Macaca mulatta: one gene and its partners. The protein of the gene in region 2 purifies or fractionates together with the protein of the main gene of each other region. This does not show direct contact. Links are inferred from orthologs where the notes say so. Each region holds a gene or a part of one and is shown on either strand. Other genes may lie near its edges.

Evidence for each region.
Region 1: the proteins of POLR2D (region 2) and RPRD1B purify together in Homo sapiens (affinity purification with mass spectrometry; 3 studies listed by BioGRID and IntAct, counting the BioPlex papers as one, with this or other methods). This does not show direct contact. The link is inferred for Macaca mulatta from reciprocal best matches to the Homo sapiens genes POLR2D and RPRD1B.
Region 3: the proteins of POLR2D (region 2) and POLR2M purify together in Homo sapiens (affinity purification with mass spectrometry; 3 studies listed by BioGRID and IntAct, counting the BioPlex papers as one, with this or other methods). This does not show direct contact. The link is inferred for Macaca mulatta from reciprocal best matches to the Homo sapiens genes POLR2D and POLR2M.
Region 4: the proteins of POLR2D (region 2) and MED26 purify together in Homo sapiens (affinity purification with mass spectrometry; 3 studies listed by BioGRID and IntAct, with this or other methods). This does not show direct contact. The link is inferred for Macaca mulatta from reciprocal best matches to the Homo sapiens genes POLR2D and MED26.

The regions. Positions count from the first base shown.
Region 1 is NC_133415.1:90,949,182-90,955,931, reverse strand, and holds part of RPRD1B (regulation of nuclear pre-mRNA domain-containing protein 1B), read right to left. Parts: intron 1,604-6,750; coding exon 1,454-1,603; 3' UTR 1-1,453. UniProt on the Homo sapiens protein: Interacts with phosphorylated C-terminal heptapeptide repeat domain (CTD) of the largest RNA polymerase II subunit POLR2A, and participates in dephosphorylation of the CTD by RPAP2. Transcriptional regulator which enhances expression of CCND1.
Region 2 is NC_133417.1:9,416,425-9,424,156, forward strand, and holds the start of POLR2D (DNA-directed RNA polymerase II subunit RPB4), read left to right. Parts: upstream 1-3,100; 5' UTR 3,101-3,117; coding exon 3,118-3,190; intron 3,191-7,354; coding exon 7,355-7,535; intron 7,536-7,732. UniProt on the Homo sapiens protein: Core component of RNA polymerase II (Pol II), a DNA-dependent RNA polymerase which synthesizes mRNA precursors and many functional non-coding RNAs using the four ribonucleoside triphosphates as substrates.
Region 3 is NC_133412.1:35,008,359-35,016,205, reverse strand, and holds the start of POLR2M (protein GRINL1A), read right to left. Parts: upstream 5,069-7,847; 5' UTR 4,940-5,068; coding exon 4,827-4,939; intron 3,068-4,826; coding exon 2,420-3,067; intron 1-2,419.
Region 4 is NC_133424.1:17,070,681-17,078,448, reverse strand, and holds MED26 (mediator of RNA polymerase II transcription subunit 26), read left to right. Parts: upstream 1-2,787; 5' UTR 2,788-2,869; coding exon 2,870-2,971; intron 2,972-3,123; coding exon 3,124-3,198; intron 3,199-3,860; coding exon 3,861-5,516; 3' UTR 5,517-6,630; downstream 6,631-7,768. UniProt on the Homo sapiens protein: Component of the Mediator complex, a coactivator involved in the regulated transcription of nearly all RNA polymerase II-dependent genes.

The DNA of each region.
Region 1 (6,750 bases), on a different chromosome or scaffold from region 2:
TTATGTTTCAATGTGTTTAACATGTAAAATTACATGTAATTTTTGGTGATCCTGGAGATAGCAACACAAATTAATGGAGATTACAAAGCCCCCTCCATGGAATTCCTTTTTATATAGTTTGGGTTTCAGCCTCTGGTCTATAACTCCTATTACACTACTGGGGCAAATCGCTTTCTGCCCTTTCCAATGTCAAAAATAAGCCTGCCAAATTAGAATGATTTACAATTGGCAGGCTGAACCTTTACTATAAGCAAGATAAAAATCGTCTCTAACTACATTATATAGTCATAATGTCAGCTGACATGATAATAGAATTAAAACCCCCAATTAATATCCCCAACTCCCCGCTTCCCCTGCCCGAGCTATTCAATAACATCTGATGCAAGTACTCCCCATCGTGTGGGGACAAGGACCTGTGCAGTGGTGTGACCTGACAGACGGACCTGCTCAGCGTCCTATTTGCAGTGATACTCGAGTTTAGTCACCATACTGTGGACATGCACCCAGACAGTGGATTAAACGTTAGTGTGTACCCTACTCCCAGAAGAAAGGGTCCAAGTAACACCCGCACAGAGCCCAAATGCAGCACACCTGTGTGTGGGGCCTTCATCTTTTGGAGCCCACCAATGTCTGCCACCCCTAACAACTGCCTTCGCACCCACCAGGGATCAAGGCATCCTGTTTTTCAGAACGTGCTCCGACAGTGGAGCAGTGCGGTGTGGGAAGGTTGTATCTAGGAACTGAAGCAAATAAATTACTTTTAATTCATGCTTGTGTTCCCTGTTACTCTGTCTCTGAACTGTGCCTTTATGCTCCAGATTAGCTTTGAATCTTATTGCTAGATTCTCCAATCTGTTTACAAAATAAATGCACCTATAATCTTTGTGCATCACTAGCAGAAGTAATGGAAAGGGAGGATCAGAGATTTGGCAAACTCTTTATGGCAATGCTACGACAGCTGTGCCTCCAACCTTTTGGGGCAGATGTAGCTGGGAGAGCCAACATCTCCAGGACAAGTGCCTTAGTGGAAGCCCACACCGAACCTGAACAAGCCCAGCTCAGAAAGGAGAAGCTGCTTTCATGACAAAATGCTGTCATGAGCGACAAGATTCTTTTGAAAGCTTCCAGAAGTACACATGATCTTCATAACTTCTTAGGTATAAGGAGAGAGTTAAGAATGGAAAACCAACAGGGGCGCATGAAAATATGAAGTGGGAGAAAAAGTCTGTAGTCTTTGCAAATATGAATATAAACCAGATTCCAGTCGCCACTGTTCTGAACTGTGCTCAAGATGAGAGGCTGAAGAGGAGAATCAGAGCCTGAGGTTCTTTCTTGAGGCTGGGGGGCTGGGCGGAAGAAGGGATAGAACCAGGGGCTAGAAGGTTATTTCCAACCATGACTTGACCTCTTCTTTCTGCTGGTACAAACAGAAATCTGGGACATGACACCCATCCTAGTCAGTTGAAAACAGGTCCCCAGCAGAGGGCAGGGGGGCTAAGCCCCCTGTGACGTTGGGCAGCAGTGAGAGGTCTGGCAAGCTCTGAATATGGGATTTCAGTTCCTTGCGGACCTGGGTTACTCGCGCAAGCTTCTGTTTGTATTCCTAAGGAGACAAAGAGAATACAATACTGTTAAGTCTGTGCGTGCTGAGGGCCTGGGTGCTGCTGGAGCTGGGGCAGTTACTCCCATCCTCATGTTCTTCCTTGTCCCAACCAGCCTGCTCACCCTGTTCAGCTATATCACAAAGCTAGGGCTTCAAATGCTCAAAAGGCAAAACTTTCTATCAAAAAAGGAACGTAGAGTACAATATTGGCAACAGTGAATTAAATGGTATTCAACTTAGGGTTGAGATTTGGAAGTAAAAAGAAGTGACACTTAGTATTTGCATTCTCTTTTTGTCCGTTCTCAAAAGTTTCAAAATGCCTTATACAATAAAATACAGACACCTGAGCTTCACAATTTCTTTGCGGACTCCACCTAAACACGGCTAGAAAAAACACAGTGAAGTTATACTTTCTATGTCAAAGGTTGGATATTAACCTAAATTTATCATGTTTTGCAAACAAACACTATAGAAGCTCAAAATACCCCACTGCTACTCCCTGTGACCAGGGCCTCCTCATTCCATGACTGAGTCACTACAGTAAATCCCTGGTGAGGCCTCCTGACCCCTAGGGCTCCTAAAATGCCATCAGACTTCTCTCCCGAAAGCCCAGCTTTCATGAAACCACTCCCTTGAGAAAGTGAGGCACGGCACCCACTAGCTCCGTGATCTGGTCCTTCAGAGCAGAGCTCAAGGTCTTGCAAAATCAGCCCCTGCCAAGGTGTTTCTCACAACCTCCTAACCCTCTTTGTGTGGACCATTTTTTCAGGACTCCCTGCGAGCCTGGAGGGGTCTCTCTCTTCTCCTAGCCCTAGGAAAGCCTGGCCTCCGCTCCTCTGCCCTCGGACTATCTGGACTCCACCTCTCTAGGAAAATCCTTGCTCTGCATCCAGGAAACGACTCCCCATCTCCTCCTGCTCCAGAGCTCCCCCTCACACAGGGAGTGTACCTGAGCCCCTAGCAAGCTGCTCTATGCTCTCTCCACACATGAGAGACTTCTATGTTCCTCTAGAATACGAATCCCCTAATGATAGGAATGGGGCATTTTTTTTTTCTTTCCTCAGCTCCCAGTAAAAGGTACTCTTGATACATCTGCCAAGATATACAGAAAACAACCCTAGGCCATGTGAAGTCTGGGGCTGTCGGCCCCCTTGGGCTTATTTTTTGTCCTCTTGGTGTCTCTGCAAGGGTAAATAGGTCCCTGAGGCTGGGCCCTTGCTGACTTAGAAAGCCCTTCCTGCAGGAATGTAACAAGAAGCACTGGGCTGAGAGGCAGAGACCTAGATTTAGTCCTGGTTCTACCTCTAACCTGCTGTGTGACCGTGGATGTGTTCCCTTTTTCCATATCTGAAAGTGAGGGAACTGGACCATAACACTTCTTTTCAGCTTCTAAATTCCTTGATACCAGATCCCTGATGCACACCTGAAGAGGCAGAAAGCAGAAGCTAAAGAATGGGAAGAATAATGAGGCAGGAAAAAGGTCAAATGAAGAATACTTAGTTCAAGTTGTAAAGACCAAAGTCCAAGCAAGGAGTGAGAGGAGGGAACCAGGAATATCCTCTCCCCATTACTGCAGGCAATCGGTCTCCCATCCACAAGGACAGCTCCTCACGCAGTCCACAAAGGAACAGAAAACGGTAGAGAGTGAGCTCTCCTAGCAGCCCATTTCTTTCCTTTGTAAACTTACTACAACTAAAATTAAACAATGACTTATGTAAATGATTAGCAATGACTCCCACATTTAACTAGTAAGCTCCTGGAGGCCAGGACGAGACCCATCTGCTTCCCCCAGCATCCACCAGGCTCTGCAGTGTCCAGCAAACAGCAGGCATCCAGCACATGTGCCGAATGAAGGAGCCATATCTAAAACATAACATCAGGCATAAGCATGCCACATGAAGTAACTCCTGAGACTAAGACTTCGGTTAATAGTCACCTTTCACACTCTTGAAGTTGAAAACTATTTTCAGATTTGAGGATCTGAACCCCCTTTCTCCCACAAGTACTTTTCTTCTTTGGCTGTTTATACTTCAAGGGAAATTAATATATAGGATGAAGGTGACTAATTCTCTATTTCTGGACATGGATTCATCTAATAAACTTCTCCTGAACTGAAGGTACAAAAAGGGTAAAATGGCAAAACAACTACACAACAGGGACTTCCTGCCCCCACCTGAATTCTCTGACCAAAGCTGACAAATCAAAGCCACCTCGACTCAGAGCCAACCACTCTTGGCAACTAGGGAGCCCTTCAGTTGAAGGAGTCTCTCAAGAACAGTTTGAAAACCACCGAGTCTCTGGAAGCTGAGCTGGGATCAGAATCCAAGACTCCTTACTCTTGAGTTATCATCAGACCAACCTGGCAAGTTCACTGAAGCTAAAATGGAAGGCACTTTGATCTAATTAGACACCACTTTAAGTTCAACTAACTTTCTCCTAGGGAATTTCTTAAAAATCCCAGTTGTGGCCAGATGCGGTGGCTCACGCCTGTAATCCCAACACTTTGGGAGGCCGAGGCGGGCAAGATCCCCTGAGGTCAGGAGTTCAAGATCAGCCTGGCCAATATGGCGAAACTTCGTCTCTACTAAAAACTACAAAAGTTAGCTGGGTGGGGTGGCGGGTGCCTGTTAATCCCAGCTACTCAGGAGGCTGAGGCAGGAGAAATTGCTTGAACCTGAGAGGCAGAGGTTGCAGTGAGCTGAGATTGCGCCATTGCACTCCAGCCTGGGCAACAGCGAGACTCCATGTCAAAAAAAAAAAAAAAAAAAAAAAACCCAAAAAACGCTTTTCTGTTTGGAAGGGGGTATAGGGTGGGGTACAGGGGATTCCTATATATCATGCTTAGGCTGATATTATATTCCGGACATTACCGAAGAAACTCATTTAACTAAAAAGAAATGTGTTCCAGTCTTCAGGCCACTCTGGAAGTGGACGGATCCTGCCCAGAGCTCTACATGCCACTGGGTGACTCTTCTCGTAGGGACGCCTATTGTAAGAGCAGGCGTAGGAGGAAGGAATCACTAGAGAAAAGCAAGAGTGACAGTGAGACTGTCACTGAAAAGGATTAATAAACATCAAGGCTGGCCTGGGCACGGTGGCTCATGCTTTTAATCCCAGTGCTTTTAGAGGCTGAGGCAGAAGGACTGCCTGAGGCCAGGAGTTCGAGACCAGCCTGGGAACTACAGTGAGACCCTGTCTCCACAAAAAAATAAAAAACACAAAACACTGAGGCTGTACAAAGAAAAGATCTGTAGGCTAAGAGGTTTAAATGTATCGGCAAGGACAACTGGGTATATACTCGGAATAACCAAATACAGGTAGCAATTGCCTTTTAAACTGTTAAAACATGTACCTGTTTAACTGGGACAGTCAAATGACCCAGATTAATTTCCTGAAGAGAGGCAAGCAGGCTGGAATTCATGGCAAGCTCTCATTAGGTTACACTAAGGCTATAGTAATTTTTATAGTGCACTAAATAGACTCAAGTAGTAACACTGTGATTTCCCACTCCCCACCCCTGCTTTTACAAACAGATTCAGGCTTTCCAAACAAAGTCATCTGCAAACCTTGCCATGGACCAACAAAAGAAATTAACAGTGACTCTGGGCTAGACAAGGTGGTTCACGCCTGTAATCCCAGTACTTTGGGAGGCTGAGGCAGGTGGATCACTTGTGCCCAGGAGTCCAAGACCTGTCTGGGTAACATGGCAAAATCCCATCTCTACAAAAAATGCTAAATTAGCCAAGCGTGGTGGCACACGCTTATAAGTTCTAGCTACTCCGGAGGCTGAGGTGGGAAGATTGCTTGAGTCCAGGAGGCGGAGACTGCAGTGAGCCAAAGGAGTGATTCCAAACAAAACTCCCCCAAACACAACTCCAGCCTTCACCTGCCTCTGAATTCTCCGGTTCTTAAGCTCTCTCAGTTGGGTCTTGCAGATCCTCACTAGCTGCCTTTTCAGGTTATTCTCTTTGGGTCTCGAGAGATGAAGGAGAAAGGTCTCAGGAAAATCCAAGAATCTCGTGTCTCAATTTACCAGCTTGCCTTCTCACACAAGTGCAGTTCACGAGCTCTGCTGCCAGAGGGCTCCTCAGCTACTCCTGCTCTCAGAAGAAATCCGGGCCTCTTTTCCACATCCCACAAAAACTAACTCCAACGTGACGAAACCCACTCAGATTCTTCTACCTCGTCTAAGTGTGCTGTATCCCATGATCTCTTTAGTACACCAAGTACCACTCAGGGAGAAAAATGATGTGCCCAGGTGGTCACATGCTTCTTGTTTCAGACACTTTATTCTTGTATGTAACACAGGACTAAGCCTTTCATCCAACACCCACGCTCCTTGCCTAGAACTGGAATTCAAGAGCTCCAGTCCCGTGCCATTTACAGCTGCAGGATGACCCTACTGTAGCGTTCTTGCCCATCAGTCTCCTCTCCCGACCAGCGCACTCTTCTCAACCACAGTGCACAAGGCTCTCTCCAGTACTCTCATCTTCAGAGGGTGCCTTTCCTCCACGACCAATCTTATGCAAGAGAAGACAAGGCAAGCCCAGGCAGTCTGGTTGCTATTCCTCTCCAGTGCATGCATTATTTATACTGAGAGGTGGGGGACTGAGGTGGGACTTCCATTCAGCGGCAAGTATCTACTGTGGCAACCTTGCTCCAGCCCAGAAGAGCCGTGGGGTGTTGAGGGGGCCCTGAATAGGGAAGAATCATATCTGACTTGCTGCAGCAAACCTGTGTCTGGATCCTCAAGAAGGGGAGGTGGAGAAGGTGGCAGGCACCTTCGAGAAACTGCCTGGGTTTATTTGACTGTCGAGAAATGTTTACAATGTAGAGGGTAAGGCCCAATGTGTAGTTCTGAGATAAAGCCTAGGATTTACGCTCCTGGCAAAGCTTTGGAATCTTGCTGCACAGACTCTCTAAACTTGCAGGAGAAAACGTGTCTATAACATTTCCCTGCTTCCTGTGGATCCAGCTGACACCATGAACTCCACCCATCACGGAGCACCCAGACAATCTGCTGAAGGGAGCAGGGCTTACACATTCTTTGCCTTTTTTGGTTAGAGAAGCCAGACCTGACACACTGCAGATGAGCTCGGGGATAAGAGGGCTAGAAATGACAGGGGCTGGCATTGTAATGCCCTTTC
Region 2 (7,732 bases):
CTACCCAGTTTTTGTTTTTGGATGACCCAGAAAGATGAGATGTGTTTGGAGAAAAGGACATCTTCAGTTTAGACTTTTTTTTTTTTTTTTTTAAACTTGGCAAAAATAATTTAGTATTCCATTTGGGCAGCACCCTGGGGCCTGCTTGTCCCTCCCTGGCTCCAGCCCCCTAACCAACCCACCCAAAGATCAGCAGTTGACACTATTTGCAGGGAGGTAGAATTTTTTTTTTTTTTTTTTTTTAAGGTTCTCAATTCTGAGGCCCTTAGCAAAGCTCAAAAACACATGGCTACAGATAAAAACATGCTGTCGGGGTTAGGTAATTTTGAAAATTGACTACCAGCAGCTGGCTAGATGTTTACAGGCTTTGTTAATAACTGGTGTGTCTGAAGAGGAATTCGTGTCTTCAATATAAATTAATGTTCTAGAGATTACATTCCATGTTACCTGTAACTAAACAGCATGGAATTCCCTATGACTGATTTTGGGGGAGAGGGTGATTGGTGATAAAGCAAAATTTGTGATTTTAGCCATCACTGTTGACTTCTGGAGTGTGAAATAAACCATCTGATCGGGTCAGTGGTGCTAATTGTGGGAGTGGAGGTGGGGGAGGTGCTCTACAGCTGCTTCTAGATCAATCTAGGTCTGTAACCTTGGCTTGAATAATCTGACTGAACTACTAAGTGGGCTGGTTGAAGGGCTTGACTCAACCAGTACCGTACAAGAATCAGAGTAGCAGCCTGAGGAATGTAATGCAAGTCCTGTCCCTTCTGTGTCTGTTTTCCTCATTAAAATCAAGCTCAGACGAGAATTCGAGGGTCTCTCTTCCTGCCGCTTATGCATTATTTCTACTCACACAGGTTCTGTATGCCCTGAAAAATTGGGGTGGGGGGGGGGAACTCCAATTTCAAAGCTATTGGAAAACAGAAAAGAGAGGTCTCCAGTTCACCATCAGTCCCTCAAGTTCCTGCTGCCAATCAGACCCCCTTCCCCCACTATGGCTATTCTGTGATCACATCCTGGCTCCCAACCAAAGAAATAACCCAGGGCGGATGACAGCTGGAATCTCTGGCTGGCAGTCCCACAGGCCTAAGCTCAAATCTTGGTCCTGCCATTTATAAGGCATTTCCCACTTTGTGACAGGACTGTGAATCTCTAAGGTAACCTGACCTTAGAGAAGTCATAGGGAAAAAGAGTAAACATAGTAAATGTTTTGCCCAGACCCCAACACATGGTGCAGTCGCTGGGCGGCTGTGGTTATCTGGCCTGTCACTCAGTGCTGGGTGTACAGGGGAACACCCGCAAGCATCAAACCCGCCGGTACCTTCAGCCTTTCCGAGCACGTGAAAGGGGGCGTGGACAGCCCTTGCGGTCTGGGCACGTTCCTTGGAGAAGCAGGACTGAAGCAAAGAGAGCATTCTCCGGAGGAGGGAACTTCTCAGGTGGAGGGAGACCACAGTGCGGGCACAGCAAGACGCCGTGGAGGAACCCTCGCAGGAGGTCAGGCTGCACAGGCCAGACAGGATTCCCAGGACAGCCTTCTAAAGGATTTCTTTTTTTTTAGTTTTAAAATTTTACTTTTTAATTTTTTAAAGCTTTTTTTTTTTTTTTTTTTTTTTTTTTTGAGACAGAGTCTCACTCTGTCGCCCAGGCTGGAATGCAGTGGCGCAATCTCGGTTCACTAAAACCTCCGCCTCAGCCTCCCGAGTAGCTGGGATTACAGGCGCCCGCCACCACGCCCCAGATTTTTTTTTTTTTTTTTTTTTTGTAGAGAGAGATTTCACCATGTTGGCCAGGCTGGTTTCAAACTCCTGACCTAAGGTGATCCGCCCGCCTCAGCTTCCCAAAGTACTGGGATTACAGGCGTGAGCCACCGCGCCTGGACTTTGCCTGTTTTTTTTTGGCCGGTCTCTCTCTCTTGCCCAGGCTGGAGTGCAGTGAGGCGATCATAGTTCACTGCATCCCTCAAGCGATACACCCGCCTAGGTCTCTCCAGTAGCTGGGACTACAGGCGCGCACCACAACGCCAGGCTAATTTTTGTATTTTTTAGAGAGGAGGTCTCACTATGTTGTCCAGGCTGGTCTTGAACTCTGGAGCTCAAGCGATCCTCCAGCTTCGGCCTCCCAAAGTGCTGGGATTTCAGGCGTGAACCACTGTGCCCGGCCCAATTCATTTGTTGTTAAATCAACAGAGTTTACAATATGACCTTCTAAACATTGTTGACTAATGAGCTAAGATATCGTTGACTAATAAGCTACGATTATTTCCTTTATTGTACAACCTTTCGTTTTCTCCAGTGTAGAAAACAGCATCATTTTTCATTTGCATTTCTTTTTTCTTTTTTAATATATTTTTTGAGATGGATTCTCACTCTGTCGTCCAGGCTGGAGTGCAGTGGCGCGATCTCAGCTCCCTGCAACCTCCGCCTCCCGGGTTCAAGCGAATCTTCTGCCTCATCCTTCCGAGTAGCTGGGATCACAAGCGCCCACCACCATGCCCGGCTAATTTTTGTATTTTTAGTAGAGATAGGGTTTCACCATTTTGGTCAGACTGGTTTCGAACTCCTGACCTCAGGTGATCCCGTCGCCTCGGCCTCCCAAAGTGCTGGGATTACAGGCGTGAGTCACTGTGCCCGGCCGTCATTTGCTTAATTTTCTATGCATCACCCAAATGTTCCAACAGACGTGTGGTAAAAGCCTCTGAATATCATTGTCCGCGTGCTCAGAAGTATTAGATAATCCATCACAAATGAATAAAATTTTAGAAGTGTAAGTCAGTGAAAGAAATTCGACCCGGCACGTTCGGAGTCGGCTGCCCTGCTCTCCATCAGCAGGCGTTCCTGCAGCTCATCTGACCCTCTCCGCCCAGAAAGGCCTAGGGACCTACCCCAGGACGTCTGCGCGGCGAGGCGCGAGGGAGGAGAGGGAGTGCAGGGCGGCCCTGGGCGGCGGGGAGCCTCCGGGACAACACCAGCAGGTCCCCTCGCTGCGCCCCGCCAGCCTCACACTCCCGGCCCCGCCCACCCCTCGGGGCCCCTCCCAAGACCACGCCCCTTCCGTGGCCGTTGCTCCGCGCTTCCGCTTCCGGCGGCGCTGGTGGTGGCGCGCGACTCAGCGATGGCAGCAGGTGGCGGCGATCCGCGGGCTGGCGACGTAGAGGAGGACGCCTCACAGCTCATCTTTCCTAAAGGTTGGGCTCGGGGCCGCCAGACTGCCCCGCGGCACTTCGCGTGGTCGCCGCAGGCCTGGCGTTATCCGCGCTTCGCCCAAGGCCTGGCCTCGGCGGCGGCTTGGGCAGACCCCCGCGCGGCGTAGGGCTGGGGAGGGAACGTGGACCTGGGAGTGGCCGCCTGGGCAACTGGGTTATTTTATGTGATAACAAACTGCGAAGTTCCGGGCGCTGGTGTCAAAGGTAAACAAAGCCGGAAACCCAGGTGGTGAGGACAGATTTTTAAACAGGGATAGAACGTTGCACTAGAGAGAAGAGTCCAGCGTGAACCGAACTCAACTTCGATTAGTACCGAACCTCTGGGCGTTTTAAAGGAGAGTTAGGGAATAAGGATGTGGTGAGCGGGGGCTCAGGGGAGTCGGGGAAGTGAGAAATGTAAAAAAGAGGGAAGAGGAGGGTCCGTGTGAACCCACCTTGGTTTGTTGACTGCAGCATCTATCGAAGTTAGGCCCCTACCCTCCCACCGAGGCGGAGAGACAGAGGCCTATTTTCAGCCGTTGGCTGGAACAAACAAATTATTTTGGCAGCCTCGAGTTTTCTCAGGCACGCAGTGGTTGGGAAGGGTATTCCTAGGGATGAGGGCCTCAAGACCTCAAGTGATCCATCCACCTTGGCCTCACAGAGCTGGCATTACAGGCGTGAGCCACCTCGCCCTGCATTTTTTTTTTTTTTTTTTTGAGGCAAGATCTCATTCTGCTACCCAGGTTGGAGTGCAGTGGTGTGATCACAGCTCACTGCAGCCTCAACCTTCCCAGGCTCAGGTAATCCTCCCACCTCACTTCAGCCCCTGGAGTACCTGGAACTACAAGTGCACACCACCACACCTGGCTAGTTTTTGTATTTTTTTTGTGGAGACAAGATTTCAGCATGTGGCCCAGGCTGGTCTTGAATTCCTGGGCTCAAGTGGTCTACCTGCCTTAGCTGCCTGAAGTGTTAGAAAGTACAGGTGTGAGCCACTGCACCGGGCCTATTAATGGTCGTGATGACGGAACCTTACTAAAATTTCCAGATGACATACTGGCCAAGGAATTGTTTTCCTTTTTTAGCAACAGGGATTAATTATGGCCATTGTTCTTTTTTTTTTTTTTTTTTTTTGAGACGGAGTCTCGCTGTGTCTCCCAGGCTGGAGTGCAGTGGCGCGATCTCGGCTCACTGCAAGCTCCGCCCCCTGGGTTCACGCCATTCTCCCGACTCAGCCTCCCAAGTAGCTGGGACTACAGGCGCCCGCTACCACGCCCGGCTAATTTTTTTGTATTTTTAGTAGAGACGGGGTTTCACCGTGTTAGCCAGGATAGTCTCCATCTCCTGAACTCGTGATCCACCCGCCTCGGCCTCCCAAAGTGCTGGGATTACAGGCTTGAGCCACCGCGCCCGGCCCATGGCCATTGTTCTTAAAATATTTGCACAAGAGAATAACATGCAGATCCCCTGATCTATTTCCTTTTGTTTCCAAATAAATTTTGTGTGTGTGTGTGTATGCTTTCACTTGAAAATGTTTATTGGAATTAGCCATGGGGAGAAGTCTTGGATTCCTCCTCTCTGTAGTTATACAAAAGTGTCTGAACTGCCTCCCCCATCCCCATTTTGTTGATGGCGAATCCTGGGAATGCCTCCCAAAAGCTCTGTGGTAGGTCTCAGACACCCCTTTCCTAGGCCCTCTGAGTTACAGTTTGGCTGCCTTGACCTTCCTTGGTTGAAGGGAGTGAGGGTAATGTATTAGTAGTACTTGAATATTGTTCTTAATGAGAAATAGGGACAGTTGACTAGTTTCCTGGTGGCCTAAAAGTTCCATTCCTTTCCATTTAACAAGTAATTTTGGTTTAGTGCAGAAAGGGAGGCATCTGTTTTGTTTTGTTTTGTTTTTTTGAGACAGAGTGTTTCACTCTTGTTGCCTAGGCTGGAGTGCAGTGGCACAATCTCGGCTCACCGCAACCTCCACCTCCTGGGTTCAAGCGATTCTCCTGCCTCAGCCTGAGTAGCTGGGATTACAGGCATGTGCCACCATGCCCGACTAATTTTTGTATTAGTAGAGATGGGGTTTCACCATGTTAGGCTGGTCTCGAACTCCTGACTTTAGGTGATTCACCTGACTTGGCCTCCCAAAGTGCTGGGATTACAGGCATGAGCCACGGCGCCCAGCCTGGGATGCATCTCTTAACATTGATTTTTCCAGGACCTGTAAAAGCATCAAAGTTCCAACACACCGATTTGTAACTGATTAGCTACTTCTTCCCTTTTTTGTTTTGGCCTGATGTCATTTGTTACTGTCGCTTCAGAGTTTGGAGGTCCTGCAGTCCTGATATATAATGCCTTTTCCTCTACTCATTGCTGTGAGGCAGTAGTTTCTTCTGTACCTACAGTGCCTCAGTGTTAAAGATTAAAAGAAGTAAAGTTCCTGGTATACAAATAGGCACTCACTGTAGTACATCCCCTGTTATAGGCTGGAAGACAGAAAAAGGTGTTCTGAGGTTTTTGTTTAAACTCTCCTGCCCTCAGGTAGAAAATAGCTTTTGGTTACCTATTTTTTTTATTTAGATTTTAATTTTATTTCAATAGTGCTCCAGCTGTATTGGTAGCCTATTATATTCAGTAGCAATGAGTACCTTTCAAATAAAAATAGACTTTCCTCCTGACCTACCACTTAAACTGTCTGTGTTGTGAAAGGAGAATGAGGCTCTTGTCAGTTACCCGGCTTGAGAATTGGGAAGGCGTTACTCTGAGGGAGGTGTTAGTGATTTCCCCGATAATAAACAGACCTATAGCACGTGTAAATGTGAAATTGCAAGTCATTCTGGCTTTTCCTCACTGTTGCTTCCTTTTCGGTGAGGGATTATAAACATGAATTCGTGTTTATGAATGGTTCCTGCTCTAGGGGAATTCACTGTTAAGAGAAGGACAGATAAAAACGATCTCTAATATTTTGAGATAAACATCAGGAACATAAGATCCTGCAGGAACATAAGGGAGAGAGTGATTTTCCCAAGGGGTAACAGCATTTTTTAACAGAACTATTCTAGAAGTGTAGAAGGTAGCCATATATTATGAAAAGGGGCCATGGGTTTCTTTTTCTCTCAAACCTAATTCTTAAAAATTGCTTATAACATTTGTGTGGGTACAAAAATAGATTTGGGGGTACATTATTAATGTTTATTTCTAGACATTTGGCTCTTTTTAACACGTAACAATTCTTAAAATTGAGAGTATAATACTAGCATTATCGAAGTAGGAAGATGATGAGCTGATGCAGGCTAGAGGGCAGTAATTGTCAGTGTACTCTTGAAATCAGTAACTAGGCTATATGTGTCACTACTTAGTAGCATGTCTAGGTCAGGTTTTTGGTGTCAGAATCTAGTTCAGACAAGCTAAATGTTAGTGTCTCGTGAACTCCACTTTGCCTTGTGATATGTAACTGTGGGTGAATGTAAAGATGTGAGTAGCTGCAGCCATAAAAAAGAACGAGATCCCAGCCTTGGCAGCACGGCGAAACCCCCGTCTCTACCAAAATCATACAGGGCGTGGTGGTGCGTGCCTGCAGTCCAGCTACCTGGCAGGCTGGGGTGGGGGTGGGGGGTCACCTGAGCTCAGGGAGGTCAAGGCTAGTGTGAACTGTATTCATGCCACTACACTCCAGCCTGGGTGACAGATTGAGACCCTGTTTCCAAAAAAAAAATAAAAGAACGAAATCATGTCTTTTGTAGCAACATGGATGGAGCTGGAGGCATTCACTTAAGCAATTAACACAGGAACAAAAAACCAAGTACCTCACATTCTTATAAGTGGGAGTTAAACCTTGAATACATATGAACAGAAGGGAACAACAGACACTGAGGCCTAGTTGAGGGGGTGGATGGTGCGGATTGAAAAACTACCTGTCAGTACTATGCTTATCACTTGGATGACAAAATGGTCTGTTCACCAAACCCTCACAACACCCATTTCCCCTGTATTACAGACCTGCACATGTACCCTGAACCTAAAATAACAGTTCGAAAAAAAGTAGATGTGGGGTAGGAAACCCCTGGATCTCTGCAGGGAGATCATTGTGCATTCAGATGCACAATGAACATTTAGAAGCAAACTTTTGAAGGAGTATTTTCAGCTGCCATTTATGCTTCTCACAAATAGAGTTTGAAACAGCTGAGACACTTCTAAATTCAGAAGTTCATATGCTTCTGGAACATCGAAAGCAACAGAATGAGAGTGCAGAGGATGAACAGGAACTCTCAGAAGTCTTCATGAAAACATTAAACTACACAGCCCGTTTCAGTCGTTTCAAAAACAGAGAGACCATTGCCAGTGTTCGTAGGTGAGTGCTAAAAGAAAGTTTTTATTAATCCAAACCGTTGGACAACTGCATGTGGACTGCTGTCCCCTCCCCCTTTCCCAGGTGTCACCTGTGAATTTAAGTAAAATAATGTTGGGCTGGGCATGGCGGCTCACACCTATGCTCCTAGCACTTTGGGACATTGAGGCAGCAGATCACTTGAGGCCAGATGTTCAAGA
Region 3 (7,847 bases), on a different chromosome or scaffold from region 2:
TTCCTTATTCAAACCTTATATTTCATCTGGAGCTTTTTTTTTTTTTCATGTATCATTCAAAGAACATTTGCAAAAGGGCTTATTGCCCAGTAGAAAGAAAGAAACATGTAAAGTTTCAGTGCAATATAATACCAGAGGTACTATGGCAGATATCTCAACAAGATACACTGGAACATTAGGAAATGGCCAGTTCTAGTGGGAGACAGGGAGGCTGTAAGAAAAGCTTCTAAAAAGCTTTGAAGAGTCTTGGAATAACTGCTTACCATTTAAATAAGGAGAGAAGTGCATCCCAGCAAGGGGAGTGAGAGAAAGTACAGAAGGTAGAGAGACTCAGCTTTTCTGGCTACACAGAAAAGACAGCCAGAAAGAAGGCTGGGAAGTAGGCTGGGCCCAGACTGCAATGAAGAGTTCTCCGTAACAAATTCAGATTTCCATCTTACAAATTTCACTCTGGCAGCAGTGGAGACTGACTGGTAGTTAATAAGACTAGAGGTAGAAGAGGCCACAATTATAGCCCGAGAGAGATGAGAGTCTTCACTTCGACAGAAGATGAAGAACAATTATAGAGATGAAGATCAAAGAAATAAGTAGGTCTTCATGGCTAGCAGATACGGAGATGAGAAAAATGGAAGATACCTTAGGGGAAGAAAACAAAGAACGTAGTGGTCCTATTAGGAAATATGGAAATTACCTTGGAAAGAAACAGAAGTTCCACTTTGTACATGATTAAGCTGAGGTGCCTAGGAACACCCAAGTGGTCAAGTTTCATGGTTAATTGGCTATGCAAACCTAAAGTTCTGGGAAGATCTGGGATAGAGGTGGACAGGGGTCAGCCTCCAGCATCCAGGTGATACATGAAACCAGAAGAGTATGCAGAAGGAAGAGCAGAAAGGACCCAAGGACACTAAATGACCCCACCTTCCAACCTCCAAGCCACTTCTCACATGGAACCCTCTAAATCCTTGTCTATGGCATAAGGACTCCTCAAAGCCCTGTCTTTCCTGTTCTCCTCTAACTATACAGAAGGCTCCCTGTCTCTTCAACTTCCTGAATTCTTGGTAGCCCTCATCACTATTCCCTTACCTCTCTCCCACTCCCAGCTAAATGACCGTAATACAGAACTGGGATTAATGTATTCTTTGTTGTATTTATTGACTAGATGATGGTTCTAGTTTCCTAAAATGTCATCCTGGAAGTGAAGAAAGACACCTCACTGTACACAAGAGATGACTTGATCACATTAATGCAGTATAATCCTGATTTTCTATACGGCAGAAATAAAATGTTTTGCGGTTAAAATGAATGCTGGGGTAGAGTTAAAGTCTAACAAAAAAGAAGCATGTGTTAGGCACTTTTCACTAGAGATTTTCTGTTTTTCAAAGAAAGGTAGTAGTAATTTAACTTTGTATTTGATGTTACATACTTGTAAATACAGTATAGGAAGGTACCTTTTGAGTTGAATGTTACATTTGCTGCAAGTAAATAGCAATTATTTTCAAAAAGACTTTACTTTTCCTGAAATTTCAGAAACAAATTTATGGCAAGGAACTGATAAGGAGAGTTTCTGCCTATCCTGCCTGAATCTATTTTCAGTTTTTCAAACTCTCCTCAGCTTCCTTCCCCCTGAAACTGTTATTATGTAGCTTAACTCTTTTCCAAGGGTGTAAACCTTGTGTCCTCATCTAGCTCTGAAACTCCTTGAAGAACATGGTGTTGTATTACATTATACATGTATACATTACAGCCATGTTTTTAAACTTGAGGTATAACATCAAAAAGGCAAAGAAGTTTAAGAATCTTGACTTCACTGTGTCCCCACAACACCTGCTGCTTGCTTACATTCAGTGAGCATACAAATAATTTTTGCTGGAAAGCCGATCAGCTCCTGCAATTGCTTTATCCTTAGTTCACAGACTAATCAAAGAGAGTACACTTTGATAGTACACTAATTAGAGCTGTACACTAAAAAATAGTTCTGAAAAAAAGACATCATAATAAATTCTCTCCAACTCTGTGTTTATTATGAAATATTGGCTAAGCGTCCTGAAATTTAATATTCCCCCAAGTGCTATTTAAGACCCTGTCAATTACTTAGTTTCAAAACTAAATATTTTTCAGCATGAACCTTCCACTCCAGCCAGGCTGGTCTCAGTGTTTCCACAATATGTTCTTTCCTAAATACAAGTAATTCTCATACAAAGCCCATGGAACTTAGAGCATTCTCCTTATTTATGAGAAAAGGTCTTATTATAAGTTGCCCAAGCTGGTCTACAACTCCTGGACTCAAGCTGTCTTCCCACCTCAGCCTCCTGAGTAGCCTAGGACTACAGGCAAGCACCACGACACCCAGTTTCTCTTAACTTTTTGAGTTTAACAAATATCATGTTCCTGTTATAGGCCTGTTTCCGATGGTACTTACACATTGGTTTTAAATTTATGCAGCTGGGGCACTGGATTTTTGGCTCGCATTTCTAGCACTTCCATGTAATGAGGCTTCTTCTGAGTCCCACTAGAAAGGTCTGTCAAGTTCTTAGTACTTGCGTTTTCTTCTGACTGTTGTTCACCTTGGTCTGCAATGGTGATCCTCTGTAACCTGTCAATAAACAGGTTGTCAAAGCTGCTGGAAGTATCTTCTGCTTGACTTGAAACACGACGCTGCGGGTGATGCTCACTAGCTTCAGATGAAGACGGTACCCTGTCTCTGTTGCTGGAAGCTGGGCCCTTAATCACTGTGTATTCAACCTCTGGAGTCTCTCCATCACCTTCATGAGTAGGATGTCCAAGTCCCTGGTTTTGTGAGGTTGTTTTAGATGACTTGATATTATCTACAGAGGAACACCCAGGAACTAGTGATGAAGTATCAAGTATCGGGTCAGAATTCTGGGCCTTATCTGTACCCACATCAACTTCTGCAATTGCTTTTTGCCTTAGCTTACAGTCTAAACTAACAGGGTGAAACAGTTCACTTTTTCTTCTAACTTCTTCATGTTCTGCAACAGCAGCTTTCAGTTTGGCAACAGAGTCAAAGATCTTTTTACCTTTGTCGGGCAATTTGCAAATGAATTTTCTGTCAAATGGAAAAGAATACATACACATTACAGCCATGTTTTTAACTTGACATATAACATTAAAAAGGCAAAGCATTATCTTCAAAGAAAGAAAAGCTGATTTTTAAGTCAAATATCTGATTTCTAACTGCCCCAAAACAGGAATAAAACAAATAAAACGGTCATTATCCAAACAGCACAAAAAAACAACGGAATGCTGGAATAGGGAATATATGCCTCATTTGTCTCAGCAAATTAGAATTTCGGCAAAAGTATTTTAAGCATGTAATAATCACATAAGACATTCTAAGAACCAGCAGTCATTAAAGTGCAATCCCCACAATTTGGGGATGGGGTGGAGTGTGGGGATGGGCCTATTATTTTAAAACTACTTTCATAATAATACTAAGATGTTATTTCCCTCTCATTTTCTCACATGGGTACAGCGGAGTTTTCCAGTGGCTACATGACATATGATGACATCATTGTTCTAGAATAGAATGTGTGCTTGTGTATGCTTATGTTTTAAAGACTTCAGCTGTATTTCTGATAAGTAAATAAACTTCACTAGACAGAACACATAAAATAGTTCTTCGGGATGTCAAAAAATCTTAAAGTATAAAGGAGTCCTGAGACCAAAAAGTTAATTCACTACTACAGATTAAAAACCTATTCTCACAAGGTAAAAACACCTGCCTTGATCCCAATCAATTATTTATTTGTCCCTTTTGCTAGATGACAGAGTTCCTTTTTTGATTCTCTTTTCTTTAATTATACAATAAATGGAGAGAAAAATCTTAGGTCCTTTGTTCTTTTTGACACTACATTCATTCCCACTATTTCAACTATTAACAACACTCTACAGCTGAAATTCCTATGTTTTCTATATTTTTCCAGAGTTCTCTCTTTCTTGAGCCTAATGACAACTTCTCCAGCTTTTAAGTGTTTGGTTTTCAATTAGTCAAATGTCTGTCCCGCTCTCCCCTCAACTCTGAACACCCTATGTAAAATCAACCACGGATCTATTCCTCTCCCTGAATATTCCTATTTTTGCTAGTGGTCTTCCATACAAATTGGAAAACTCAGCCATCTCTGTCAACTACATTTAAATGACTCTATGCTTAAAAGTTCTCCCAATCCCTTCCTAGTTCACTTTCTTACAACTGTCTCGTGGGGAGCCTCTCTGAAAATAGCCATCTACTGTCTCCCGCTTTTTATTCCTTCAAACCATCTTTTGCAACAAGCTGCTAAACAAAGCTGCCTGAAAAACAAAATCACTTTTATCACGTGGCTCCCTTGCTAAAATCCGTTAAATCAACCAGCTGACTGGGGGTCGAACTTTCCCGGCCTAATAAACGCCTCTTCATATCCCACTCTTCCCATTTCCTACGGTTCCTGTAAGCGTAGAATCCAGAGACGAAGCTGACAATTTGTTATGGGTTAGGGGTGCGGGCGACAAAAGGGTTTAGAATGAAGACTCTTGCTTCATGGAACTAACACAGTCCCCGGGTAAATAAAACCAACGAGGGGCTACTAACTGCCTGCAACAATAAGTAGCCGTTCAGTCCGAGCCATCCTCGCAGGCCTACGTGCCTGGCCAGGAAGAGGCACGGCTCTGCGACAGCAAGCCCTCCGTCCACTCGCCCGTAGGACTGAGGCGAATGTGACTGAGGCAAGGTCACCTTCCAGGGAAGGAAACAGAGTGGGGGAGGGGAGGGGAGCGCCCAGGGAGCTCGAGCTGAAGGAGCCTGGCGGAGACTCCGCGGGACCCCAGCTTACTCGTTGCGCAAAAGTCTCTCCTGGCGCTTCAACATTTCCCGCAGCTCCACCAAACTCCGCTGCCCCAAGTCCTCGGGAGCTTGGGGCTCGAAGCCGCGGGGCAGCGAGGACATTCTGCACAGGCTGAGGCTGGCGCGGCGGCGGGCACTCGGCTTCCTCGGCAGGCCCCGCTGCTAGCGCCGGATCCGCGGACTGCGGTGACTCCGGGGCTCGAGCGGGAGTCGCCATTTTCCCGGAAGAACGGGGTCTTCCTCGAGCCGAATCGAGCTTTATTGAAATGCCGGAAACAAACACGGACCGGGAGAAGGGGGCGTCCGGAGGAGCGCTAAAGGGCGGAAATTACGTTGGAGGACGCCGGCGCCTGGGTTTGGCGCCCTTTCCCCTCGTGTGAGCATTCATCCGGTTGTCAGCTGTTCATAGGTTTATACAAAAAGTATTTGGCGCCAGCGTGACCTCACCAAGCACTATGTGTTAGTCAACAAAGAGCCACGTCCTCTGTTATAGTTGGGGTTTACAGAGTTGGCGCGGGGGACGGAGGGACGGAGAATCAAATAATATAATAGTGACGTTGGGGTGGGCACCTGGGAAGGTATCTCTGAGAAGTGAAATACAAGTCGAAACCTGAAAGATGAGTTGGCCGTTAATAAGGTAGAGGAGAGTGCGGGACAGGATTTGGGAGACTCCGGCCTGTGTGTGGTGCCTCCTAGCTCAGCTTAGGGACGTCCTGAAATGTTAAAGTTGGAAGGTTCCTTAGAATCAGCAATTCTTTTCGGGGCTCATTGCATTTGGAGCAGGACTTCATTTGTGGCACTGCCTCAGGCATTGTTAAGACATTTGGTGTTTCTGGCTTCTGCCTGCTAGGTGCCATGGCACTCCCAAGTAATTGCAAAAATCCAAAATGTCTCCCCCAACATACATTTCCAAAGGCCCACAAGAGGTGATGAGGGAGTGGGAGCAGCTGTACAAACTGGTTGAGGACCTTTTATAATTTTCTACTTTGCCTGTAGAAAAAGAGTCATGAAAACTGAAATAAATATTCCCAGGGCACAAAACCAGTAAGTGACAGCACCAGATTTCAAACCCAAAAGCCCAGCGGCTTTTCCAACACACCAATTTGAAAATTCCCTTCTTCACTTTAGGCCTATCTCCAAATGTGCAAAATTGTTGAAAAGACTTTTTTTTTTCTTTCCCCCAGCTGTTGAGAAGAAGACAGTTTAGTAAGTATTGGACACAGCTTTTAGTTTCTTGTTATAGTTCACCTACCAGAGATGCATCCCAATGGAAACAGTAGGAAGACATGCAGTCACAGCAGATATCACTTGGGAGGTTTGAACACCCCCATAACCTCCAAAACCACTGCCCTCCCCCGATTTTTTTATATAGGAAATTGAAGTTGTCTCAATCCTATGTAAGATGCTATATTAACACAAGCAGCTCCATCCCAAAGAGACAGAAGATCTAGGTAAACTCCAAAGCTATTCCAGGGAGCACAATTGCAACCATTTTTTTATCCCCCCAATCTAGTCCATTCAGATCAGATTCATTAGTATATCAAAATAAGTTTTCTCTGTATAAGACTTGCTTTCAAGGATGTTAATAACCTGCTCCAGCATTGGCTGAATGAGAAATAGGTAAGCTCCTCGAGTCAGTTGGTTGTCTGTGGTGTCAACAAAAAAAAAAAAAAAAAAAAAAAAAAAACTCCATAAAATATTGAAGAGATGTATTCTGTGCTAGATATGAGTGACCATGGCCCATCACACAGCCCTCAGGAGATGCTGAGAACACATGCCCAAGGCAGTCGTTGCACAGCTTGGTTTTATACATTTTAGGGAGACATGAGACATCAATCAAATACATTTAAGATAAACATTGGCTTAATCCAGAAGGGTGAGACAACTCAAAGCAGAGCAGGTGTGGGGCAAGATGGGCTTCCAAGTTATAGGTAGATTTAAATTTTTTTCTGATTGGCAGTTGATTTAAAGGAACATCTAGGTTACCATAAGAAGTGGTGGAGACCGAAGTTTTATCATATAGATGAAGCCTCCAGTTAGCAGGCTTCAGAGAAAGTAAGTTGTAAGTGTTTCTTATCAGACTTAAGGTAGATGTTGATATTAAATGCTGTGCAGCTTTTCCTGGATTCTAAAAGAAAGAAGGGCATAATGAGGCATGTCTGACCTCCCCTTCCCATCATGGCCTAAGCCAGTCTTTTAGGTTAAATTTGGAGGACCCTGGACTAGAGGAGGAAGTTCATTCAGACGGTTGAGGGGGGCCTTCAAATTTTATTTTTGGTTTACAGTGGTGAGAGCCCCACAAGCCTCCTTTGCCCCACCCTGGACCCCAGCTGGAGGCCTTTATTTCCCCCACAGTAGTGAACTCCCCAGGCGCTGATTGTGGGCCACAGGTGTCCCCAAAGCAAGGATGCCTTTCTTTCAGGCCTCAGAATTTTGCCCCCTTCTGTTACCCTTTTTTGGAAGGCTGTCTCTCCTCCCCTTGCCAATTATAAGTCTTGGCTCAAGTCTCACCTCCTCCCTGAACTTTCCTATGTTATTCCAAACTAAATTTCTCTTTCTTTTGAGCACAACTATAGGGCTTAAAGTTGGAACCTCACTGCATGAAACATATTATAGTTCTCTAATTGTGTTATGCATCAAGATTTCTTTTTCCTTGCCTAACAAAAGTAAAGTCCTTTCTGTGAGGGAGCTATAATTGTACTTTTTCTTTCTCCTCTCAGGAACATAGCAGGTACTAATTGACACAATCTCCTTCTCTCATATTTTTTTCTCTACCTTTCCCTCATATTCCTCTTTCTCTTAATGAAATGTTTCTTAAATACAAATCTTAGACTTTTTACATAATTAATCATAATTACTGTGTAGATATTTTCAGTGCTTTGGGATAGAATCTTTTATACAGTATGGCTTAGGGCTTCAAGATACCATAATACAAATCTGAATTCCTACCAGCATCCAAGCACAAACTGTCTAATTTTGTCAGTAACCAAGAGGCATGGCAAGTGGAAAA
Region 4 (7,768 bases), on a different chromosome or scaffold from region 2:
TGCTTCAGGAGTATGTGGGGAACCAAGGCTCCAAATATACCAGGGTGAGGTCAGCAGGGTGGAGGTGAAGCCATGTGGCAAGCCCAGGGACTGAGTCGGTGCTGGAGTGCCTGGGCCAGGGTGTGGTTGGCCTTGCTATCTGTCTGGGACTGGCCTCCTAATGGCGCAGTCCTCCCCTGCACTGATCCCTGCCCATTGCATGAGGAGTGCGGACAGGACTGCATCTCCTCTCTCATCACCCACCCACCCCCACCATGATGCAGCTTGAAGCAGGGTTTTCAGGGTCATTTGGAGCCCTGAATGAGAACATTGCAAGGCAAGGCCGTTGTTGCCAAGGAGCAAATGGGCCCATTGGCAGAGGGGCAGCTTTGTGGGAGCTCTGCAGGGACTGCTGTCGTGGCTCTGTGGTCACTCTGCAACTTTACACCCAGAGGAGACAACACAGGGGAAGGGAGGGAGGGGCAGTGGCTGCCTTGCCCTGGAAGTGGGGCAGAAGAGTAGAAAAGCCAGAATCCATGAGGCCAGCAGAATTAACAGCCCTCAAGGACGTCCACATTCTAGTCCTGGAGCCCAGGCATGTGGTACTGAACATGACAGATGTGACTAAGGGAACAGTCTGGAGATGGGGGGGATGATCCGAGATCATCTGAGCAGGCCCTGCCTAGTCAGGGAGTCCTTAGAGATGGCACCTATCTTGGCTGGGTCAGAGAGATGCCGGGCGAGAACTCGGCCTGTAGCTGGCATAAGGGGAGGGGCTGTGAGCTGGATGCAGTGCCCTCCAGAAGCTGGGAATGGCTTCGGATGACAACCAGCAAGAAAATGGGCCTCATTCCTGCAGTGTAAAGAGCTGAACTCAGCCAGACGCCGTGGCTCACGCCTGTAATCCCAGCACTTTGGGAGGCCGAGGAGGGTGGACCACCTGAGGTCAGGAGTTCCAGACCAGCCTTCAACATGGTGAAAGCCCCATCCCTACTAAAAAAATACAAAAATTAGCTGGGCGTGGTAGCGGGTGCCTATAATCCCAGCTATTCGGGAGGCTGAGGCAGGAGAATTGCTTGAACCCAGGAGGCGGAGGTTGCAGTGAGCTGAGATCATGCCATTGCACTCCAGCCTGGGCGACAAGAGGAAAACTTCGTCTCAAAAAAATAAGTAAGAGCTGAACTCTGCTAACACCTGAAGGAGCAGGAAATGGATCCTCCAGAGAGGATCCCAGCCCAGTGAGACCGAGACCTGACTTCTGAGCCCTAGAGCCTGAGATGATAAATGTGTGCTGTGTAAGATGCTGAGTTTACAATCACGTGTTATGGAAACTCATGCCACGCAGTCTTGGCAAGGATGTGGCCTGGTGGGAATGGAATGGAGCAGCCTCCCTGGGGGCGAGGTGACCACCCTGCATGGATGTGAAGCCCCGGCTCACCCGCGGCTGTCTGTGCATTAGCCCAGAGTCAAGTCTGTCACTGCCGTCAGTTGCAGCCTTGTTTTGTAATGGCGAACAGAAAGTGCCTAAGTGTCCCACAACATTCAAGTCGGGCCTTCCCCACTCTGGAAGGGATGGTGAGCCAAATGAGGGGCTCTGTTTGAGGCTGGACATTGCTGATGTTAAGTCAGAAAAGGCAAGAACCACGGTCAGTTTGGTTTTGAAATATGTGACAAGTGTAGATGTATACGCCTGCATACACAAGGGATATTTTTGGAAAAAAATGCAAGGTAATGCTACAGTGGCTGGGTCAGAGATGCCCATTTCCTTGTGTGCCCTTTTACGCTGTTTTAATTTGTATCATGTGCCTGCTTAACTCCTTTATCATGTTGGGGTGGGGGTGGGGGGGAGTTGTGTAATCTACTCACTGTGGTTTCCTCAGGGCCCCTGGGTTCCCGCCTGCCAGCCAGCCCACCAGAAACCTGTAGCTGCTGGAGGTGGCGGTTGAGCGGTAGGAATTCTTGTTGTAACAATTAAAGGAGTTAGTAATGTGTGGGAAGTGCTTAGAACAAGGTGTGGCTCCTAGCAAGATCCTAAAAGGGTGGGATTACTCGGTCATAGGATGTGTTCATGTTTCACTCTGCCAGACAAAGTCCAGCCGTTCCCAAAGTCGGCTGTACCCCCAGAAGTACCTAGTATTGTCAGTGGGGTGCGTGTATCATATATCCATTTGTGGGTTCAGTTTGAGTTTTCCTAATTATTGATAAAGCTGAGAAGCTGAGCATTAGCGCTGACATTTCATTGCACAGTGCCTGTTCCTGTCTTGTAGCCACTGTGCGCTGGGTTCCTGGTCAGCTGCACTGCTGCACAGGCATTCTCTGTGTGTTCCAGATACAGCTCCTTGGGGCTTGTGGTCTATGCCTTCTCCCACTTTGTGACTTTCTGCTCTCTTTATGGTGTCTTTGGATTCAAATCGACTGGTTTATTATGTATTGAATTTTTTTTTTTTTTAACGGAGTCTCGCTCTGTCACCCAGGCTGGAGTGCAGTGGCGTGGTCTTGGCTCACTGCAACCTCTGCCTCCCGGGTTCAAGCAGTTCTCATGCCTCAGCCTCCCGAGTAGCTGGGACTACAGGCGCATGCCAGCACACCCAGCTAATTTTTTTATTTTTAGTACAGATGGGGTTTCACTGTGTTCGCCAGGCTGGTCTCAAAACTCCTGATCTCGTGATCCGCCCTCATCGGCCTCCCAAAGTGCTGGGATTACAGGCGTGAGCCACCCGCGCCCAGCCTATGTATTGATCTTTTAAGCTTTGTGGATTTTATTCGATGAATTCTTCAGTGTCTCCTCTCCCACTCCCATCAGATGGCAGAGTAGAGGTCATTTTAAGTATCAGGAGCAGCTCTTGTTTCACAAGCATCCTGGGTTTCAGCAGGTGGGTGGATATGTACCATGTACACTGGAGGGTTTGGAGCAGACCGCACACCACACACTGGAGGAGGTCGGACAGCGGGTGAGGATGAGCACTGGGCGCCAGGTTGGCCTGGGGAGCAGGTAGGAGACTACATGGAGTGGGGGCTTCAGTGCTGCCAGCTCCTCTTGCTCTGGGGTTGGGGAGAGACTGGAGCAGGCTGGGGTAGGGTGTCCCTGCCTCCCAGGGGAGAAGGGCAGGAACCTGACAAATGGCTTTTTCTTTATTTCCACAGATCCGGAACATGGTGGCGGTGCTGGAAGTCATCTCCAGCCTGGAGAAATACCCCATTACCAAAGAGGCACTTGAGGTGAGTATCCCAGACCCCAGCATTTGGGAGTGCAGAATGGGGGACAGGGGACGGCACCAACCCAGTTCCTTCCCCAGCTTCTAGGAGCGTGTGTCTTTGCTTCAGAGGACCAAGAGAGGCGGTGTGCCCTCACAGCTTGTGCCCCGTGATCTTGCTCTCCTGTGGCCACTGCAGTGACCAAGTGGCATTAATCCCATCCTACCTGCCCAGCACACTTCATGGGCACGTGGGCACGTGGGGACATGGGGACATCAGGAGAGGTGTGCTTGGGGGAGGCTCCAATGAGAGGCGCCGTCCCCAACCCTCCACTTGAAGCAGACCCTCTGTGCTGCCGCCTTGGCCACAGCACCCTCTCATCCAGAAAGCCTCCCTGGCAGTGTCCTTACAGTGGCCTTGACAGCCCCCTGGCACCAGGAGCCTGCGGGACAGCACTGCTGAGAAGCCACCTGGGACTCTGAAGGTCTGGGGACTAGGTTTGAGAATTTATATTGTCACAAAGGACCGGAAATCCCCAGGAGTTTTGTGCCAGGGAGGCTGGCAGTTTAGGGCTCAGTGGGAACCAGGTCATTTCATTGTCAGGGCCATTTCCCACCATTTCTGGCTCAGCTCATGGGGAAGTCCCTGTCCCGAAAGTATGTCATCATCTCTCTTTCTGGTTGTAGGAAACACGACTTGGGAAGCTCATCAACGACGTCCGCAAGAAAACCAAGAACGAGGAGCTCGCCAAGCGGGCCAAGAAGCTGCTGCGGAGCTGGCAGAAGCTCATCGAGCCAGCGCACCAGCATGAGGCAGCGCTGCGGGGGCTGGCGGGGGCCACTGGCTCTGCCAACGGGGGTGCACACAACTGCCGGCCGGAGGTGGGGGCGGCTGGCCCGCCCAGGAGCATCCATGACCTGAAGAGCCGCAATGACCTCCAGAGGCTGCCCGGGCAGCGGCTGGACAGGCTGGGCAGCCGCAAGCGCAGGGGTGACCAGCGTGACCTCGGCCACCCAGGGCCACCACCTAAGGTCTCCAAAGCTAGCCACGACCCCCTGGTCCCCAACTCATCCCCCCTCCCTACCAATGGCATCAGTGGGAGTCCAGAGAGCTTCCCTGGCTCCCTGGATGGCAGTGGGCATGCAGGCCCAGAGGGCGGCCGCCTGGAGCGTGGCGAGAACGACAAGCACAGTGGCAAGATCCCCATCAACGCTGTGCGGCCGCACACCAGCTCCCCAGGCCTGGGCAAGCCCCCTGGACCCTGCTTGCAGCCAAAGGCTTCGGTGCTGCAGCAGTTGGACAGGGTGGATGAGACTCCGGGGCCTCCCCACCCCAAGGGGCCCCCTCGCTGCTCTTTCAGTCCTCGGAACTCACGGCATGAGGGCTCCTTTGCCCGGCAGCAGAGCTTGTATGCACCCAAGGGCTCCGTGCCCAGCCCCTCACCGCGGCCCCAGGCGCTCGATGCCACACAGGTGCCGTCACCGCTTCCACTGGCACAGCCGTCCACACCCCCTGTACGGCGGCTTGAGCTGCTGCCCAGTGCGGAAAGCCCAGTGCGCTGGCTTGAGCAGCCGGAAAGCCACCAGCGGCTGGCGGGGCCGGGCTGCAAGGCAGGGCTGTCCCCAGCCGAGCCCCTCCTGTCCCGGGCGGGCTTCTCCCCAGACTCCTCCAAGGCGGACAGTGACGCTGCCTCCTCAGGGGGCTCGGACAGTAAAAAGAAGAAGAGGTACCGGCCTCGAGATTACACGGTTAACTTGGACGGGCAGGTGGCTGAGGCGGGCGTCAAGCCTGTCCGGTTAAAAGAGCGGAAGCTCACCTTTGACCCCATGACAAGACAGATCAAACCTCTGACCCAGAAAGAGCCAGTGCGGGCAGACAGCCCTGTGCACATGGAGCAGCAGTCCAGGACAGAGCTGGACAAGCAGGAGGCCAAGGCCAGCCTCCAGAGCCCCTTTGAACAGACGAACTGGAAGGAGCTGTCACGCAACGAGATCATCCAGTCCTACCTGAGCCGGCAGAGCAGCCTGCTCTCATCGTCGGGCGCGCAGACCCCGGGGGCTCACCACTTCATGTCTGAGTACCTGAAGCAGGAGGAGAGCACCCGGCAAGGGGCCAGGCAGCTGCACGTGCTGGTGCCTCAAAGCCCGCCCACAGACCTCCCCGGGCTGACCCGGGATATCACACAGGACGATCTCGACAGAATCCAGGCCAGCCAGTGGCCGGGGGTGAACGGGTGTCAGGACACACAGGGTAACTGGTATGACTGGACGCAGTGCATATCACTTGATCCGCACGGCGATGACGGGCGCTTGAACATTCTGCCTTATGTCTGTTTGGACTGACCGGCCCGTCAGCCACGAAGTGCATTCCCATCTTGCAGAAGCCGGGCGGGCGGGCAGGCAGGTGGGTGGGTGGCCGGGGCCCAGCTGCCTCCTGCACTGGGAACTCGGGGAGTCCGGCCCGGGCAGGAGGGAGGGGGCGGGAGTCACGCGGTCTCTCTGCACTCTTCCCTCAAAACTCTCCTTTTGTGAAATGCTGCTACCAGTTTACTAACAAAATTGCGAAGGAAGGACCGCGTGGAAGGAAGGACGGCAAAGTGAGTTCAGAACTCTATAGCAAACCAGCTATAAAAAGCGTTAGTCCCTCACCCCTGAAGAGGTGCGGACACTTTCCAGCACCTGAAAGCTGGGACCTCAGTTGCAGGCAGGCACAGAAAACCTGTGGAGAGGTTACCTTTAACACAGCAACAGAAGCACGCATCTCATCTCTCTTGCATTTTCTGTTCTTTAATTTGGCCCTGAGTGTCTGTGAGACAGTGGGCCATGCTGCCTCTGTTTGCTCCCTACCCAGCCACTGTCAGGTCAGTGTTGTCCGTCATGTGCCAGAAGCTTCTCAGCTGTGGTGAGCCACTGGCATCGGGCAGGCGGGCCAGCTGGCCAGCCAGGGTGACCCACACTCCATGGGCAGCCACCTGTTTATATCTGGTTTCAGTTATAACCCCGTTTTTAAAGAAATGCTGCAAAAATTTAAGTTTTTTCATGTTTATTTTAACAACTCCTTCCATCAGACCACCAGACAAAAAAAAAACCTTTCCTTTCTTCCTCCCTTTCTTTTTTCCCTTCCTGTACACATCTAGAAAACTTCACCTTTCTAGAGTCCTCCCAAAACAACACAAAAGTGACTGTGGGTGCTACTGGTTTTATGCTGTACTGTGGGGCGAGGGGGAGACCTGTCTGTACGCTGGAAACACTCATAACCATTCCTTTAGATTCGTTTGCCTTATGGTTATTTGTCATAAACGCGATTTGCAAAAACAAGGAGCCTTAGTGAATGTACAGTACCTAGACTTCTGTGTTCTCAGGACGCAGAAGGGAGCAACTTTGCTATTTGGTCCAGTAAGTGGACACCTTGTGATATAAATGTGGAAATAAAAAAAAAAAAAACCATTTGCACAAACCAGTCTGAGAATCTTTTCTCATTTGGACCTTCACAGCCAAATCAGCCCTTTCCTGGATTGTAGATTAGCCAGAAAAACCTAGACCCCAACAGCCGCAATGCAGGGAGACAGGACAGGGCACTGTGCTTTGAAGTCCACCTGCTAGCCTGCTGCTGCATTTGGGAGGACCTTCACATTTTATTCATTCAGGGCCACATTAAGGAACGTTATCTTGTCTCACCCAGACTTTACCTGGCCTAGAGAGCAGCCCTCCGTAGGAGGCTCCATAGCATAGGTCTCAGTGACTACCCCCACCTTAACAAAATACCAGAGACTTAGAGCTGTGTGTGTGTGTGTGTGTGTGTGTGGCAGCCCACCCTGTGGCCCTGGCCCCCGGCTGCCTTACTAGCTGGTGGTTGCTGACTCCAAAAAAAATAGTTCTCCCTTGACTATAAAGTGATCATCTTTTAAGTTCCCCCTCTTCCCTGAAACTGTAGGCTAAGACTTTGGTTTTCTAGTTTTTCACTTTGGAATAGGTCATCTTATCCGTATCTGCTTAATTTCACAAATGAAGAAACAGCTACACCTTAAGACATGCAATCTCACAGAGCAAACCAAGGGTTCCTTCCAGCCTGTAAGACTACAGTCAGTCCAGAGCCAGTTTCAGAGCTAGCAGGGATTCCTGGCAAAAGCTTGGTGCAGAATACACTCCCCTCCCCAACAAAAGGCCATGGGCGAAGTGGCTTTGAGGGCAGGATGAGGTTGAACCCAGGCCTGCCACCCACCAGCTGTGTGGCTCTGAGCTCATCTCTTCACTCCTGTGCACATGTCCCCATTTGGGGGGTGAAAATACCTACCCCAGAGTTTTGAAAACTAAAACACACAGCATGTCAGTGGAAGTATCTGACACTCAGCTGTGCTGTAGGGTGCCTATAGTTACATTTTCCCAAGTTCACTGTGCCTATGTTTAACAGCTCTGCTGATATGTGGTGTCTCAAGGATGTGACTTTACTCTGATACACACAGGGCACAGCTGGAGGATATTAGGGTGCAGAGCTTGGCCTCCTATCAGCATCTCTAGAACTTTGGGACAGGCTGCAGCTCCCCCCTACCCCTGCCTGCAGGGACTACCATGCCTGTGTCCATGTATCCAGGAGG